Linked DNA regions of Arabidopsis thaliana. The main gene of each other region encodes a partner of the protein of the gene in region 3 in a complex. Each region holds a gene or a part of one and is shown on either strand. Other genes may lie near its edges.

Region 1 (3,282 bases), 3.7 Mb from region 3:
TCATTTTCCGGGTAGCATGGGAAGGTGTTATTACCTTGTAACTTTTACAGAGTAACCATGAATGTGACTGTAGTTCCAAGTATATTCATATTAACCAGCCCTAACTCTTTTTAAATCTCTATATTTCAGTACACTGATGGATCTGTTACCCTCAAAGCTTGTGCTGGTCTAAATGGTATGAGGTTAGGTGGCAGTGTAATAACAGCCGTTTGTGCATTTCCTGATGCATCATCCGTAGCGGTAATTCAGTGACCCAACTTTGCTTTCGTTAGTTCATGTTGTGTTTGTATGGGTGACATTGAACAGAAATTCCTTTAGTTACTTGTGAGAGTGGTGTGTGTACGTAATATGTGTTGCAGGTGAATGAGAATCCACCATTCTATGGGATACCTAGCCATGCAAAACCACTTCTTGGCAAGCCTAAGAATATTCTAAAGCTAAAAAATGTGGTAAGCATAATTGGTGTATCCTTTTTCTTGTGAATCTTTCCCAAATAAACTATGTGAGGCTATATTAACATTCCATTCTTTCTTGTTTGACAGGTTGACCCAGAAGATCTCACGTCGTTTTCCGAGCAAGAAGTGAAAGAAATTTTGGAGGATGTACGGTTAGAATGTGCCAGGTTAAGCTCTGAGATCATCTTCCCATGAGTCCATTGAGCTTTTAAAAGCTAGTAAATTAAGAAAATAGGCCTCTGGGTCTTGTCATGATGCAGGTTTGGGGTTATTAAGTCGATAAACATCTTGGAACACAAGAGCAAAGATATCACTGTTTCTGAAACAAATCCATTGTTGAACTTAGAATCAACTGATTCTAAAGAAATGAATGTGTCAGTGATCGAGGAGAAAGATGAAGGATCCGAGAAAGCGGAAGATATTGCAGACAATGTAGATCTTGCAGAGGTTGTCATGCCAGACAGTTTGACAGGTGAAGACAAGTTATGTGAACCGTGCTCGGATACTGCTGCTGAAACAAGCACTCAAGAAAATGAAGATCTACACTCCACTGAACAAGAGCATTGTGAAAAGATTGTTGAAGAAAGTGCGCAGGCCGAGGCAGAGAATCCACAAGAAGTAGCATCAGTGCGTACCGTGAAGACAAGATGGGATGCTGGCGACAAGATAGAAGAAGAACAAGAAGAAGACCCCGAGGATGTATTTGAGACGGGTTGTATCTTCATTGAGTACAGAAGACCAGAAGCGACATGTGATGCAGCCCATTCTTTACACGGAAGGCTATATGATAACCGGATTGTGAAAGCAGAATATGTTTCTAAAGAGCTTTACCAAATCCGGTTCCCAAGTGGGTAAATAATCCCACAACAAGTGAGACTCTGTGATTCTTCTCATCTTTACCACATAACCGGTTCAAACCGAGTTCAGAGATACATAGCATCTACAATCAAAAACCCTTCAAAAATCTCTTTGTAATCGTTGGGATTGATCAGGTTGGATTATTCATCACCACCTGTGTCTCGTTACTTTTATGTATTAGAGAATCCAAGAAGGGAAAGATGAAACCATACTATTGTGTTGGTGGCTATATGGACCGGTTTGCTTACTGAAAAATTGTTGTGTTAAAAGAGAACGTAACCTTCTGAATGAGAAAGCGTCTTTCATTTTCTACAAAATAATAAATAAAATGAACCCAATCTCCTTCTTTATCCAAATCCTCCTTCGAAGCAGAAGTAACAGCAACCAAAAATGACGACAATGGCGACACAAGGCGCTTGGCTACGAATGACCTCATCAGCCAAGTCCATGACCAAGTCAACCGTGACTTCAAAGGAGCTTGGATTCCTCACCTCCCAGCTCAGCGGCTTAAGAATCTCATATACTCCCAGTGACGTCATCAACCGTATCTCCCTTCCTTCGTTCCCCGGGATTCAGCCAATCGTCGCACGTAATTCCCCTTTTCCCTTTCTCTTAGGGTTTAGTCGAATGCATTGGCGTACTAAATTTATCTTGCTTTCGTTTTATTCATGTCGAATTTCGAATCTCTGAGTTAGCAAGCTTGTGTTGAATTGTCTGGAACTATGTCTTTGCTTTTAGATATGAAAATGAGCAGTGTATTTAAAACCCGTAGCATAATTTCTCGTATTAAACTTTTCCTTTGAATTTGATGTTATGTTAAAAAAATTCTCCAAAATTGACCACATTTATATGATTCTGAGCATTGGGCAATTTGCTCCTTTTTTCTTGAAACTGTGTTTTTGTTTTCCAAAATGTCAGGTAGAATCTGCCCTTTTACTGGGAAGAAAGCAAACAGAGCAAACAAAGTTTCATTCTCTAACCACAAGACCAAGAAGTTGCAATTCGTCAACTTACAATACAAGAGAGTTTGGTGGGAAGCTGGCAAACGTTTTGTCAAACTTCGTTTATCAACTAAGGCTTTGAAGACCATTGAGAAGAACGGACTCGACGCTGTTGCCAAGAAAGCCGGCATTGATCTTCGCAAGAAATAGATATGATGATCGCAAAGTTTATTATATACATTTCTTGCTTCTCCTTTTGCAGTACTCGTACATTTCCTTTCTAGATTTTGGTAAGTATCAATGGAATCTCTGAGTTGTTGTATCAGACACTGTCAAGAAAAGACTTTAAAGAGAAACGAAAACAAACTCTCACTTGCAGGTGGCTCAAATAATACATTTCATGGTTTTGTTTATGTTTCTCAGATAATATCGTTACAGGTTGTATCAACTGAATTCTCGGGTTTTCCTTTTGAAGACTTCTTAATCGAACCTTCTCCTCCTGCTGATGATCCTTTTAGTTTCCTAGGACGCGATGTAGCCTTCCGTGGAGGAGCTGAACCATCAGGTATTTGATTAGGAACTTCTGTGTCTGGAGCCGGGATACCACCACGCCTTCTGCGAACTGATGGTTCTTGATCATTCGATGAGTCTGTTGACCCGTGTGCGCTTCGGTTATGTCTTGAATGCTTTGATGGTTCATCTGATGATGCAGCATTTCCGCTACTTTTTCTAGGCGGAGACCCGTTATGATTTGGAGAAGCTGCTCCTCCGGGTTTCCGCCTTGTTTTCTGTTTCGGTTTCTCGTTTGTGTTCGAAGGCAGTAACTCTTTTAGCCCGGCTCCACGTTGGTTCGTCCCTATTGAGATACACATCAATTCCTCGAACCAATCCAGATTTGTTCCTCAAAGCTTAACACTTTAAGGGAAAAGGAAAAACACACTTTGCAAAAATAACTAACCTTGCGGGTTGTATTTGTTGGAATTTCCCCTGGAAACGACTTGACCTTTCTCATGTTCTTGAGTTTTAAA
Region 2 (4,017 bases), on a different chromosome or scaffold from region 3:
CCCACAAGACAGAAACACATAACAACACAACTCTGATTGCTTTCGCCATGGAAACTTCTCTTATCATCACCAAAAATCCCATCTTTATCACAATTTCCAGCAAAAGCACTAGTTTTTCTTTGTCCTGGTCTCATATAACCATTTGATTTATTTGGAGTAACACCTGCGAAATAAACAATGCCCAACCTGAATCAAAATTGAGATTATAACAAAAGACAAAAAAGATGGTCCAGAAATCTGGTGAAAGAAGGCAAAACCAACCAAGAAATCGGGAGTTAGATTCTGTAGAGAGATTGGTGTATACAGATTTTTGTGTCTGTATATTTATTTATAGTGTATAAAATAATGTATTTATATGAGGCCCTTTGATTCTAGAAACTGGTGCTTTACATGTGCAAGTAAGAACTGAAAATAATGAAGTGTAAGAGGGCCGTCTTAAAGATGGTTCGCAGAGAAAGAAGCAAAAAGTGTAATAAATAATTCAATGAACAAATAACTAAAGATTATATATGTAAGAACATAAAGAAAAACAAAAATTAAAAGATCCAATTGAGAAAAAGAAGAAGCAACCTTGGAATAAATACGAGAAACAAACTTTAATCAGAGATCCATAATCTTCACAAGTAAACGAGTGATTTAGCACTAAGCATAAAGAAGAAAGACAGAGAAAAGAAGTCGAAGAAGCAGAAGAAGAACTGTTTCTGAGCTCAAGCAAAGAATAATTCATAATATTCTCTCTCCTTTTTTTTCCCTATTTTCTTCCTTATCATTACTTATTTTTTTGGTATTTTATGAAATTTTGTAAATTTTGTTTTGGAGTGCTATTTCTGGAGTGGTCAGTGAAGACGTAGGCCAAGGTGTGGGGTAGTATGATCGATGCTTTACTTGTGTCCTCATACTATTCGATAAATCAAATTTTTACGTTGGCTCTTATTGGTAACTATCATTTATTAAGGTAGTTGATGCATTTTTCTTTTTGGTTACAACGGATATAGTTAAATGGTAATTAGGGTAACTACGTATGACATGAGGCAAAATAATAATTGAAAATGTGAATGTGAGGAGTGACGACCTAATTGCTCCAAGGCCGCCTTCGTCAAAGAATAAGTCTCCTCAACGGTTGTCAAATCAATTTCACACAAAAAAAAAAGAAAAGAAAAAGATATTTTCAGACATAAATAGTAAAGTAATTGTACTATTGATTTCATATGATAAAAGGTGCATGAAACACATGGTCGACTATTTTTTGTCTTTAGAGTGTTCATTAAGGAATGTTATTAAAAAAAACTTATAAGAGCTGCATTTGTTATTACATAGTTCCTTATTGAAATTTTCATTTGTTAATTGTTAACACAAAATAAAATATGCCACTGAATCCACAAATATCTTGTCGGTATCGAACTTTTTATTTATTTAGAACAAGAATATCTTGACCAAATGAAATGTGAACCAGGAAAATAAATATACAGTTCATCTTTTTTTTCTTTGAATCTTCTCAATTTGTTGTTTGGATTTTTCTGAGGGTAAGGGCCCATTTCATTTTTAAATTTGTCTGTTAAGAGTAGTTTAAAATCCATGCCTTTAAAAGATTCGACTTGAAAACATACTTAATCGGGAAAGATGCACAATTTTGATCCAAACGCATCTACTAATAATCTATTGACTTCATTAATCTAATCCAAACTCCACGTTCATTGGGTAAATTTTGTGAACAGTTATTATAATAATGGGCCTAGAAACAGTGAGATAATAGGCCATGATCAATATAGATAAATGGGTTACACAAATAATGAATTGTCCCACAGAAGGATGGTTAAAAGTAATGGGCCGAAAATAGTGAGCTAATGGGCCGTGAAAGTAATGATTTGAAAGAGGGGATTACAGAAGCTGACGATGGATAAGTCTTTTCTGGATAAAACGCTCTTCTTCTTCTCTTCATCCTCCTTCTGGAGCAGAGCTTAGAGCTCCATCATCAAATCTTATCAATGGCTTCCTCACTCGTCTCATCTTTTCAACCCAGGTACTTTTCATATACTACAAACCATAGAGCTTCTTCATTCCGCTAGGGTTTCGTTTTCTTTACTTGGCATTTTCTACTCAAAAATCTCTATAAACTGTGTTCATGAGCCTCCCAAGTATAAGGAATCTCTTTGAATGGGTTATTTTTATCTTTTTAAATCGATGGCAATGTTGAATTGGTTATGGACTCTTGAAATTGTGGATTTTTATTTTGGGAATTTGAATGTGTTATGCGGAACTCACTGTGTAAAAAGCAGGATTCTAGAGGGGTTTTTAGCCATGGAAACTGAAAGTTCTACAAGAATGTTTCTCTTCCTTAATCTAACGTTATCTTTGTTCCAATAACAGTTTCTGTGTATTGGTTTAGATATATATCTGGTAGAGTTTTACTTTCTTGACATGTTTTATCTGAAGATAGATAGATAACTTCCCCTTTGTTTTAGGTCAGCATTTTTGGGAGATAGAAATGTGTTCAAGGTCTCAAGCACACCTTTTGCTCAAGTGGGTTACTCCAGTAAGACCATTGAGTGCAAAGAATCAAGGATAGGAAAGCAACCGATCGCTGTACCTTCCAATGTAACCATTGCATTGGAAGGTCAAGACTTGAAAGTGAAGGGTCCATTAGGAGAGCTGGCTTTAACTTACCCACGCGAAGTTGAGCTTACAAAGGAAGAATCCGGTTTCTTAAGGGTCAAAAAAACCGTCGAAACTAGAAGAGCCAACCAAATGCACGGCCTTTTCAGGTTACAAACTTCTCATCTTTTCTTGTCATCCAATGAAGTCCTTAACTTTTTTGAGGTTAAAAGATCGTTTGTTCTCTAATCTTTTTTTTTAACTTCTGTGTGACTTTTAGGACGCTTACCGATAACATGGTTGTGGGAGTATCAAAGGGATTTGAGAAAAAGCTTATACTTGTGGGTGTTGGTTATCGTGCAACAGTAGACGGAAAGGAGCTGGTGCTAAATCTCGGGTTTTCACACCCGGTGAAGATGCAGATACCGGATAGTCTGAAAGTGAAAGTGGAAGAGAACACAAGAATCACTGTGAGTGGATACGACAAGAGCGAAATCGGGCAGTTTGCTGCAACGGTTAGGAAGTGGAGGCCACCAGAGCCATACAAGGGGAAAGGAGTCAAGTATTCCGATGAGATAGTTCGGAGGAAGGAAGGAAAAGCTGGAAAGAAGAAATGATCTTCATTTTTCATTATTATCTACTTACTTATCTCTTCCTTTCAATGTTTATGTGTATTTGCTCAAATTTGTTTAGAAATGAAGATGTTTGTGTTGGGATTCTTGAGTAAGTTTTTAAAGGAACCCATTAATTGTTTTTGATGCTCTGACAAAAATTTCTTTAGTGCTTTGATTGAACAAGAACTTGGGCACAAAGTGCCTCATCGGTGTGATTCTATTGTTATGTTTCCTTATTGAACCAAACCAATCCAAATCGGACAAAAATCATGGTAGATAAACTTTTTAAAACAATTTTTTAATCTATTCTTCTTTTTTTTAATTACAAATTTTCTTATTTTCTTATATCTAAAAAATCGTAACAGTAAGATATTAATATCTGTATTCTTAATTTGGTAGATAACTTTTTAAAAAACGAAAATTTCCTATAAGAATAATAATAGTCGGAAATAAAACAAAAAACAATATCATGGTGATTATTCTTATTTGCTTATATCTTCTTCTTTTTCACAATTTTTTTTTAAAAAAAATATTTACAAAATTTTCTTATTTGCTTATATATATAAAAAATCAGTAAGATATTAATATCGATTTTTTAATTTGGTAGATAACTTTTTTCAAACGATAAATTTCCTAAAAACAATAAAATATTCGGAAATAAACAAAAACCCTGATTGAAGAAAAGTCTTTTTGTTTATCAGTTCACCGGAGGCAAAAATCGTCTCTCGCTTGAGCTGCGAAGATGCAAGCAGTAAAAAGATCCAGGAGACATGTTGAAGAAGAGCCAACAATGGTAGAACCTAAAACCAAG
Region 3 (3,615 bases):
CTTGATTTACTCAAATTTGGTTTGAATCTTTGGGAATGATCAGGTCGAATGTGGGAAGGACGAAAGGAGTTCAAACCCGCGCTAGCAGCTTTCTTGGACGGTTTATTACTAGACGGATCATCGGTTCCTTGCAAAGTAGCGGTTGGAGCGTTATTGTCCGAAAGAGGGAAAGATCATCAGCCAACTCTCCCCGTGGCTAGAAGTTTGCTCTCTGATGCATTGAGGATCGATCCAACAAACCGAAAAGCTTGGTATTACTTAGGAATGGTTCATAAATCTGATGGACGTATAGCTGATGCTACTGATTGCTTCCAAGCTGCTTCTATGCTTGAAGAGTCTGATCCTATTGAAAGCTTCTCAACCATTCTTTAAAAATCCATCATAAAGATTTATATTCATATGTTCATTTTTTGTCTGTCATCTCATGTACAATTTTAAACCTTCTTAATTTCTTCAAACTAAATATATATTACATTGTTCGTTAGTTCTTTATGTTTAGAACTTTAGATGCTGAATTTTGGATACGCTTTCGAGTTTTGTAATCGCAGTTGAATCACAATTCAAGAACATTAGCATAGAAATACTTCCGACTTATACAAAAACTCCAATTCTAAGAAAGAAACTGTGATTTAGCAATTCGATACAAATTTTCAAGGAATGGATAAACACAAGTCAACATTACAAAACAAAACAGAGTCTCTTCTCTACTAGTTCTTGGGAATGTTAACTCCGACGATTTTAGCGGGAGTAATACGAAGAAGATTCCCAGGCTTACCAGGCAAAGCACCTTTGATCATGACAACATTAAGCTCCTTATCAACTTTAACAATCTTAAGCTTCCTAATCTTTGTCCTCGTCCCTCCCATTCTTCCAGGCATCTTCTTCCCTTTATAAACTCTTCCCGGAGTAGTACCAGCACCAATCGAACCCAAAGCTCGATGACTCTTGGAACCATGAGTCATCTGACCTCTCTTGAAATGATGCCTTTTGATTCCTCCTTGAAACCCTTTACCAATTGTGGTTCCAGCTACATCAACGAGATCACCTTCTTTGAATATCTCATCGAACACAAGCTTCTGGTTCGGTTCGAATCCTTCGATGTTTGTTAATCTGAACTCTTGGAGATGTCTCATTGGGATTGTACCGGCTTTTTGGAGATGACCGGTTTCCGGTTTAGTTAGCTTTTTGTCGCGTACACGACGGTAACCGATTTGAACCGCGTCGTAACCGTCTGTGGCTAGGGTTTTGATTTGGGTTACGATGTTACCTTCGCGGAATCCGACGACTGTTACTGGAACTACTGTGCCGTCTTCTTCGAAGAAACTCATCATCCCGAGTTTTGACCCCATTACTCCGATTCCAGCTTCCATGGATGATGAAACCACGAATCTGGTTTTTGGTGATGATTTGATGAGAAGTGAAGAGGATTTCGCCGGGAGGAAAGTGGGAGTGAAGAGTGAAGAGGATAAGGTTGTTTTGTTGAGCAGAGATGGGAAAGAAACAACCGCCATAGCTATCGCCATTGTCGGAGATTCACAGAGGAGAAGAAACTCTGAGAGAGGATAAAGCTCTGTGCCACACTCTTATCTTCTTCTCCAGTTATGAAATTTATTATTATACCGCTGAAGATACTCATATTTACAAAACACGGTGGTTTACCTTTTGCAACATCGGTCCTTTAAATCTGATTTTATTCATTTTGTATTTTTTCTTCTTATTGTATTCAATTTAACCTCTTTCAAGATTGGTGTTTATATTAGTTAGCACAAGTGAGAAAAGAAAATAGTACTTGAATTCTTAAAGATGATTATCATATATAAATAATATCACAAGGATATAATGTTCCAATTTATTGAATTAAAAACACTGAGAAAATAAGACTGGGAATGTTTTAAACGATCCGACACGAGAATAATTTTAGTTTCATATTAAGACAATCATCACTTGAGGTTCCTTCTAGTAAACGATAACTGATGGAGTTTAGAGACGAGATATAAGAAGAGGTACAGAGGCAGGTCCTTCCTCGCCCATCACAGGCTGGAACAGATCCAACTCACCATACCGCTCCAGAACTCGCATCCTACAATCTTCAGCTGCCATCAATCCAGTTGAATAAGCGCCGTGAACCGAGCCCGGGAAGCTCGAGCTCGTCGCTTCACCGGCAAAGAATAAGTTATCCACTGGAACCCTAAGCCTCTCGTAGAGATCATGAGGTTTGCCCACGATATCATAGCTATAAGATCCCATTGAATTCACATCAGATCCCCACCTCGACACGAGATACTGTACCGGAGGCAATGCATCGGGAAGAATTCTCTGGAGTTGCAAGACGGCGAAATTTGCAGCTGCTTCATCAGACATTTTCTCAATGTCTTTGGCAAGCTGACCAGCCGGCATGTAAACCAGAACCGGATGACCCGTGGCCTTGTGCAGGTTCAAAAAATAACTGCAACCGTAGGAGGTTTCAGCTACCACTCCTAGAAACTCTACTTTCGGCCAAAAGACTTTCTCAAAATGTAGTATGATCTTGTTCTCAATACCTACTCCTAGGTCGTTGATTGCTTCTTGTTTCCACTCAGGTAGCTTAGGTTCGAACTTTATGGTTCCCGATTTTAAAACTCCAAGAGGGACAGCAATGACTGCAGCATCCGCAACAAAAGTTTGCCCGTTTTCTGTCGTTACCTTCACTCCATTGTACCGCCTGACAATCTTAGTAACCCTGAGAGAAGGAGAAACACGAGGTTATGACTGTGAAACACTAAACGAATGCCATAACTCTTGAAAAACGCAAAAGCTTACCTGTGGCCTACTCGGATATCAAGACCTTTCGCCAGAGTATTGATGACAGGACGATACCCTCTAACCATAAGACCGTGTCCACCAGGCAACAATTCCTCCTGCACATTTCTCGGAGTGTTAAACCAAAAATTCAAGAAGCAGTCTATACAAAAAAAACTCTTAACTACGAGAGAAAGAATGTAACTAACCTGGTCCCAACACTTTGCAGAGATGGTTTCAGCATCTGCGGCAAACCATCCTTCCATGCGGCATACATACCATTGAAGTACGTTGTGTGCAAGCCCCTCTAACCTGGATGTGAAAATTCAAAATTCAACCATGAAACCAAGCTTGCAAAAGTGCATTGCCTAAAGAAATTGAGAAAATGAGACATTATGTATACAAACCTCAGCTCGGGTTTCCTAGAAAAGACAATTGAGAAAGCCTGAGAAATTGAAATGTCAGCATCCTGCTCATCCCTGACTTTATTGATCTGTGTTTGCAATAGACGAATCTAGTTAGCATGAGCATCAATCAAAGACTTGCAACATCAAGAAATACGAGAATAGGAATAAAGAAGAAATCTAAATGAATGTGAAGGACATACCTCTTCCAAAATACGCTCAAACGTTACGCCAATCTGAGTTACCAATTCTTGAGGAACTTGGTTGCCATCCATATCAAACAGAGCATAGCTACAGAAACAAAAGAATTGCACTGTGAGTTTTAAGGTGTCAAACAAGAATAAAAAGATGGAGGTAACAAAATCGAAATATTCAAGCAAACCTCTCGAGATCATGATCATACAGGACGGAATTGTCACCGCTAGTACGATAC
Region 4 (4,530 bases), on a different chromosome or scaffold from region 3:
GTCAACTCGGAGTAGCATAATCATAATCTCACTATCGACTAAATGGGGAAACATTGAACAAGTAAGTGCTGTAAAAGCTAAGAGGATACGGGTTTCCCCAACTGCGCGGTTAGCTAAACCGGTCTGAAATGGCAATTGGCATCAGAAATAAGAAAGAAGAAGGCCGTATAAGGCAATTAAGAAACTTAGGGTAGCTGCTATCTTACGCATAGATGTTGTAATGCCTCCACCGAATCTGATACAGGCACCTGAAGCAACGAATGATTAAAACTTGCCTACCCAGTAAAGATTTTTCTCAACACTAGCAAATAGAAGATATAAGACAATGAAGCTAGCCTCTGTAACGCCTGACAAGAGTATTCCTTGTGTTTTGTTCTCCTTGATCTGTATGTTTGCTTTTGATAAGTCCAACAGGTCCCTGAGAGATATATGAATTTATCGATAAGCTATATACCCTAGAAGAAATCAGAGGGAATTACATACACAATACCTGACTTTCTCCATGTAGATCTCAACCTAGAGGAGACAAAAGACACGTAAGATGTCTATACAGGAGAGCTTGAAAGGAGACTTATAGCAAGTGCATTTAAGTCAGTACCATAGACAATTTAACAGTGTATCTTGCAATATCATTGGAAGAGCTGATTTGCTCAAACATCCCATGGACCACTCTTGGAAGAAGTCCTTTATTGTGCTCATCACAGTCCTGGATGCCTGGTCCCTGAATCAATCGAAGAAAACCAAAATGAGCCAGAAGAAGGAATGGTCCTTGTGCTACAGGAAGAGGTATCAAGATGAGTTAGGTGACCTCCATGGAATAAGTCTTCCCAGCCCCTGTCTGCATAGTATAACATGAAACGATCAAATTGAGATCAAAATCTGCCAAATTAAGAAAAAGACATTGAAAGCATTTCCAGATAAAAGAGATCAGGAGAAGAACAAACCTGTCCATAAGTGATGATTGTTCCGTTTATACCATTTACAGCGTCTGAAAGTAGTAGTAGTAGTACAAAGGTAAAAGATGCAAAAGACAAAGGTAGGAGGAAACCAAAACCAAAAATGTTGATTACATTGTAAAATCATAAGATTGGTGCTCAAATGTTTAGATCTAAAATCCAGAAGAGAAGATCAAGGAATCAATTAGTACCTCTCATGATGGGGAGAGCCAGAAACTCATAAACCGCAGCTTGGGTAGAGTCCTCATAAAAAACTCTATCGAGGCTAAATGTAAATTCATCTTCCTTGTCATCCTACACGCAAGTAAAAACGCTAGATAGAGTTTGAGAGACAGAGAGAGAGAGACAATATTAATCAAGCACACGGCGTCGAGTAGACAAACTTGGAAAACGAAGGTTTCAGCGTCGATGGGTCGAGCACAGACACCATCTCTGCTGGGATCGCGCATCTCTTTAGAGCTTCGCGGCCTGAATCGCGCACAGACGGTTACGTTAGACATCTCCTCTCCTTATCGGAACGAGCTCAGTCTACAGTGAAACACCCAAAATGAGTCAGCAGAAGATGAATGAAATTGGGGAAATAGTAGCACAGGAAATTTGAAGCTGAGAGAAAAGGAATCGGAACTTACCTCTCAAATGGAGTGGAGAGTCAGAGTAGGGTTTCTCTTACGGGCGGGAAAGAAGAAACTCGAAATCTGATTTTTGAGAAAAGAGAAGGAAGAAGAAGAAGGAGAAGGAGAAGAGGTCACGAGGATACGCGTGTGGGTTGTTAAAAGATCTAATGGTCCATAAGAAGACACGTGTCACTAGGAACACGGTAGCTAAGGTGCCCGCCACGCAGAGAATAATAGCTTAGAAAGAATAGGGGGTGTTGTTATCCCCTTGGGCGTGGAGTGGATTAGGGAGACTCGCACTCTTCTTCTTCTTCTTTGTACCCAGAAAGAAAGAGAGCTCCAACAATGGCTGCTTGCGCTACTCACTCCTCTCTCATGCTAGCATACGCCGCCGCATCCACTCGTTCCCAGGACCTTACCCCTACTCCATCTCTTTTCTCTTTTGCCAGCTCCAGACCCAACCACTTGAGCTTCCCGCTTCTTCTCCTTGGGGGTTCCAGGGACCGGAGATGTGCTGCTATTGACAGAGCTTCCAACCACAAGTTTATTGTCTCCGCCGTGGCCGCTGAGGCTGACCTCGACACGGAGGAGGACCTGGAGCAGACCGCCACCGCCGTCCTTGATCCGCCCAAGCCTAAGAAAGGAAAAGCCGCTTTGGTTCTCAAGAGAGATAGAGTATGTGCTTTACCTACTTCAATTTCGCTTCCTTTACTCGTGAATCATCACTTTGTTTGCTTACCCATTGACAGACAAGGTCTAAGAGGTTTTTGGAAATCCAAAAGCTAAGGGAAACCAAAAAGGAGTATGATGTCAACACTGCTATCTCTTTGCTTAAACAAACTGCCAACACAAGGTTTGTTGAGTCTGTTGAAGCCCATTTCCGTCTCAACATCGATCCTAAGTACAATGACCAGCAGCTGCGTGCAACGGTCTGCTTTGCCTTTTGCTGGATATACACTCTATCTTGTGCTGCTTCATTCCACAACATTTTTTAATCTCAATGCATTGTCTTTTTGTATAGGTGAGCCTGCCTAAGGGAACTGGCCAGACTGTTATAGTCGCTGTTCTTGCACAAGGTATATTGCCCCACCAAATTCACTGCTAGGACTTAGGACAGAGATTATGCTTTACCATTTCAGTCACCAAATTCACTGTTAGGACTTAGGACAGAGATAATGTTTACGGTATCAGTCAGTCAGTCAGTACTTCTCTAGATGCAACATTGTTTGGTGCGATTGACTTTTTATTTATATATTGATTGGATGGAGTTCTTGTGTATCATGTGGCTTATTCTTTCTAAATCTTTGGCTTGCACCATTTCCATGCTGAACTTCCAGGTGAGAAGGTTGATGAAGCCAAAAGTGCAGGGGCAGATATTGTGGGCAGTGATGATTTAATCGAACAGATTAAAGGAGGCTTCATGGAGTTTGACAAGCTGATTGCATCCCCGGATATGATGGTCAAGGTATGTGTTGATGATATAATGTTCTACTTGTTACAGCATATGAAACCGTCATGCTTGGCAAATAAGGTGGCATGAGATACTTGTAACTCGTGATCTATTTTCTAACATTCTTGAACTTGGCGCTTAGGTTGCTGGCCTGGGAAAGATTCTTGGACCACGGGGGCTCATGCCAAATCCCAAGGCTGGTACAGTCACAGCGAACATTCCCCAGGTAAGCCTACTCTGCAACATCTTTTCCTGATTCTGGTAGTCATGGCTTAAAGATGCATAAATCTCTCAGGCTATTGAAGAGTTCAAGAAGGGGAAAGTTGAATTCAGAGCAGACAAAACTGGGATTGTTCACATTCCATTTGGGAAAGTTAATTTTACAGAGGAAGACCTTCTCATAAACTTCCTTGCAGCAGTGGTAGGCTAATTCTCCATTCTTATTACGTATTTCTGTGGTTTAAAATACAAAAAAAAATGAAGAGGGAAAAGTAAATGATGAAATGCAGAAATCGGTGGAGACAAACAAGCCAAAGGGAGCTAAAGGAGTGTACTGGAAAAGCGCTCACATATGCTCGTCAATGGGGCCTTCCATCAAGTTGAACATAAGAGAGATGATAGACTTCAAGCCTCCCACTGCGAACTAATCGACAACGCCATTTGTAAATGGGGTCCTTTTGGGAGACGGGCAATGCCAGTGTAGACAGAGAAGAGAAACACCAAGTCTAGTCTGTTAGTAATCTTTTCACGCCTCACTGCTTTGTATCACTTTGATGGCCATTTGCTTCTTGTCGTTATTTATTTACTATTGCCTATTAAAATTTGGCAAGGGGCTGTACATGTCAGGACGCAGAACTCTTTAGTACTCTCTAAAAGAAAAGACCTTACATTGATCTTTAGGTTACATACGAGGAGGAGGTTTCTGTGTACATTACATGTGATTTACTACTACAAATATTACAAGGCCAGACTCTGCTTCGTCATTTCCATTTTGGTGAGAAGCCCTCTCATCTCTTCCTCCATTCTCATCTTCATTTCATAAAACTCTCTCTGCCCTCTCTGCATTGCCTCTAACTCCTCGTACCTCCTCCTCCTTCTCTCCTGTGCATCCTCCATACTCAACTTCCCCATTCTCCGATTGTACTCTTCTTCTATCTTCTCCTTCTTCGCTATTGCTATTCGTTTCAGTCCCTCTGCTTCTCTTCGTGCATCATCGGCCCGCCCTTGGAACATTTCTGCCTCTGCTTGCTTCATTCTCACAATGCTCTCTAGCTCTTCGAAACGAGGTTCCTTTGGTGAACCCCTTTCCAACTCCATCTCCACTGCACATATTTCAACTTGCCTCTCTCTGTGGAATGCATCAGCTACGCTCGCTGACCTTTTCAGCTGATTATGCGGGTTATCTGAGCACACCGATCTCAGCCACGCCGTGTCCTGACTAGGGCTTCCCCTCTCATGCCTGGGTTTTGGCTGTTCGTATATGAACGGTGCACTAGTTTCAGCAGGAGTG

What was found.
Region 1: AT2G43030 (region 3) and PRPL28 share a complex: the UniProt entries of both Arabidopsis thaliana proteins name them as parts of the 50S ribosomal subunit.
Region 2: AT2G43030 (region 3) and emb2394 share a complex: the UniProt entries of both Arabidopsis thaliana proteins name them as parts of the 50S ribosomal subunit.
Region 4: AT2G43030 (region 3) and EMB3126 share a complex: the UniProt entries of both Arabidopsis thaliana proteins name them as parts of the 50S ribosomal subunit.

The regions. Positions count from the first base shown.
Region 1 is NC_003071.7:14,171,917-14,175,198, forward strand, and holds PRPL28 (Ribosomal L28 family), read left to right. Parts: upstream 1-1,662; 5' UTR 1,663-1,703; coding exon 1,704-1,902; intron 1,903-2,227; exon of another isoform or gene 2,228-2,231; coding exon 2,232-2,464; 3' UTR 2,465-2,673; downstream 2,674-3,282. Other genes in the region: AT2G33435 (RNA-binding (RRM/RBD/RNP motifs) family protein), read left to right, coding at 130-240, 360-449, 543-622, 716-1,310; RIC1 (ROP-interactive CRIB motif-containing protein 1), read right to left, coding at 2,674-3,110, 3,213-3,282.
Region 2 is NC_003070.9:1,501,707-1,505,723, reverse strand, and holds emb2394 (Ribosomal protein L6 family), read left to right. Parts: upstream 1-1,870; 5' UTR 1,871-1,985; coding exon 1,986-2,020; intron 2,021-2,462; coding exon 2,463-2,762; intron 2,763-2,872; coding exon 2,873-3,209; 3' UTR 3,210-3,473; downstream 3,474-4,017. Other genes in the region: GLR3.4 (glutamate receptor 3.4), read right to left, coding at 1-82; AXR1 (NAD(P)-binding Rossmann-fold superfamily protein), read left to right, coding at 3,949-4,017. UniProt on the Arabidopsis thaliana protein: This protein binds directly to 23S ribosomal RNA and is located at the aminoacyl-tRNA binding site of the peptidyltransferase center.
Region 3 is NC_003071.7:17,892,806-17,896,420, reverse strand, and holds AT2G43030 (Ribosomal protein L3 family protein), read right to left. Parts: upstream 1,626-3,615; 5' UTR 1,524-1,625; coding exon 708-1,523; 3' UTR 539-707; downstream 1-538. Other genes in the region: NPG1 (tetratricopeptide repeat (TPR)-containing protein), read left to right, coding at 44-372; PAO2 (polyamine oxidase 2), read right to left, coding at 1,981-2,719, 2,800-2,897, 2,988-3,090, 3,186-3,271, 3,386-3,473, 3,565-3,615. UniProt on the Arabidopsis thaliana protein: One of the primary rRNA binding proteins, it binds directly near the 3'-end of the 23S rRNA, where it nucleates assembly of the 50S subunit.
Region 4 is NC_003074.8:23,442,354-23,446,883, forward strand, and holds EMB3126 (Ribosomal protein L1p/L10e family), read left to right. Parts: upstream 1-1,849; 5' UTR 1,850-1,915; coding exon 1,916-2,245; intron 2,246-2,319; coding exon 2,320-2,499; intron 2,500-2,591; coding exon 2,592-2,646; exon of another isoform or gene 2,647-2,907; coding exon 2,908-3,035; intron 3,036-3,162; coding exon 3,163-3,246; intron 3,247-3,315; coding exon 3,316-3,441; intron 3,442-3,529; coding exon 3,530-3,667; 3' UTR 3,668-3,977; downstream 3,978-4,530. Other genes in the region: AT3G63480 (ATP binding microtubule motor family protein), read right to left, coding at 90-123, 207-248, 325-418, 491-516, 599-721, 809-838, 945-988, 1,148-1,250 and 1 more; TTA2 (fibronectin type III domain protein (DUF1423)), read right to left, coding at 3,978-4,530. UniProt on the Arabidopsis thaliana protein: This protein binds directly to 23S ribosomal RNA.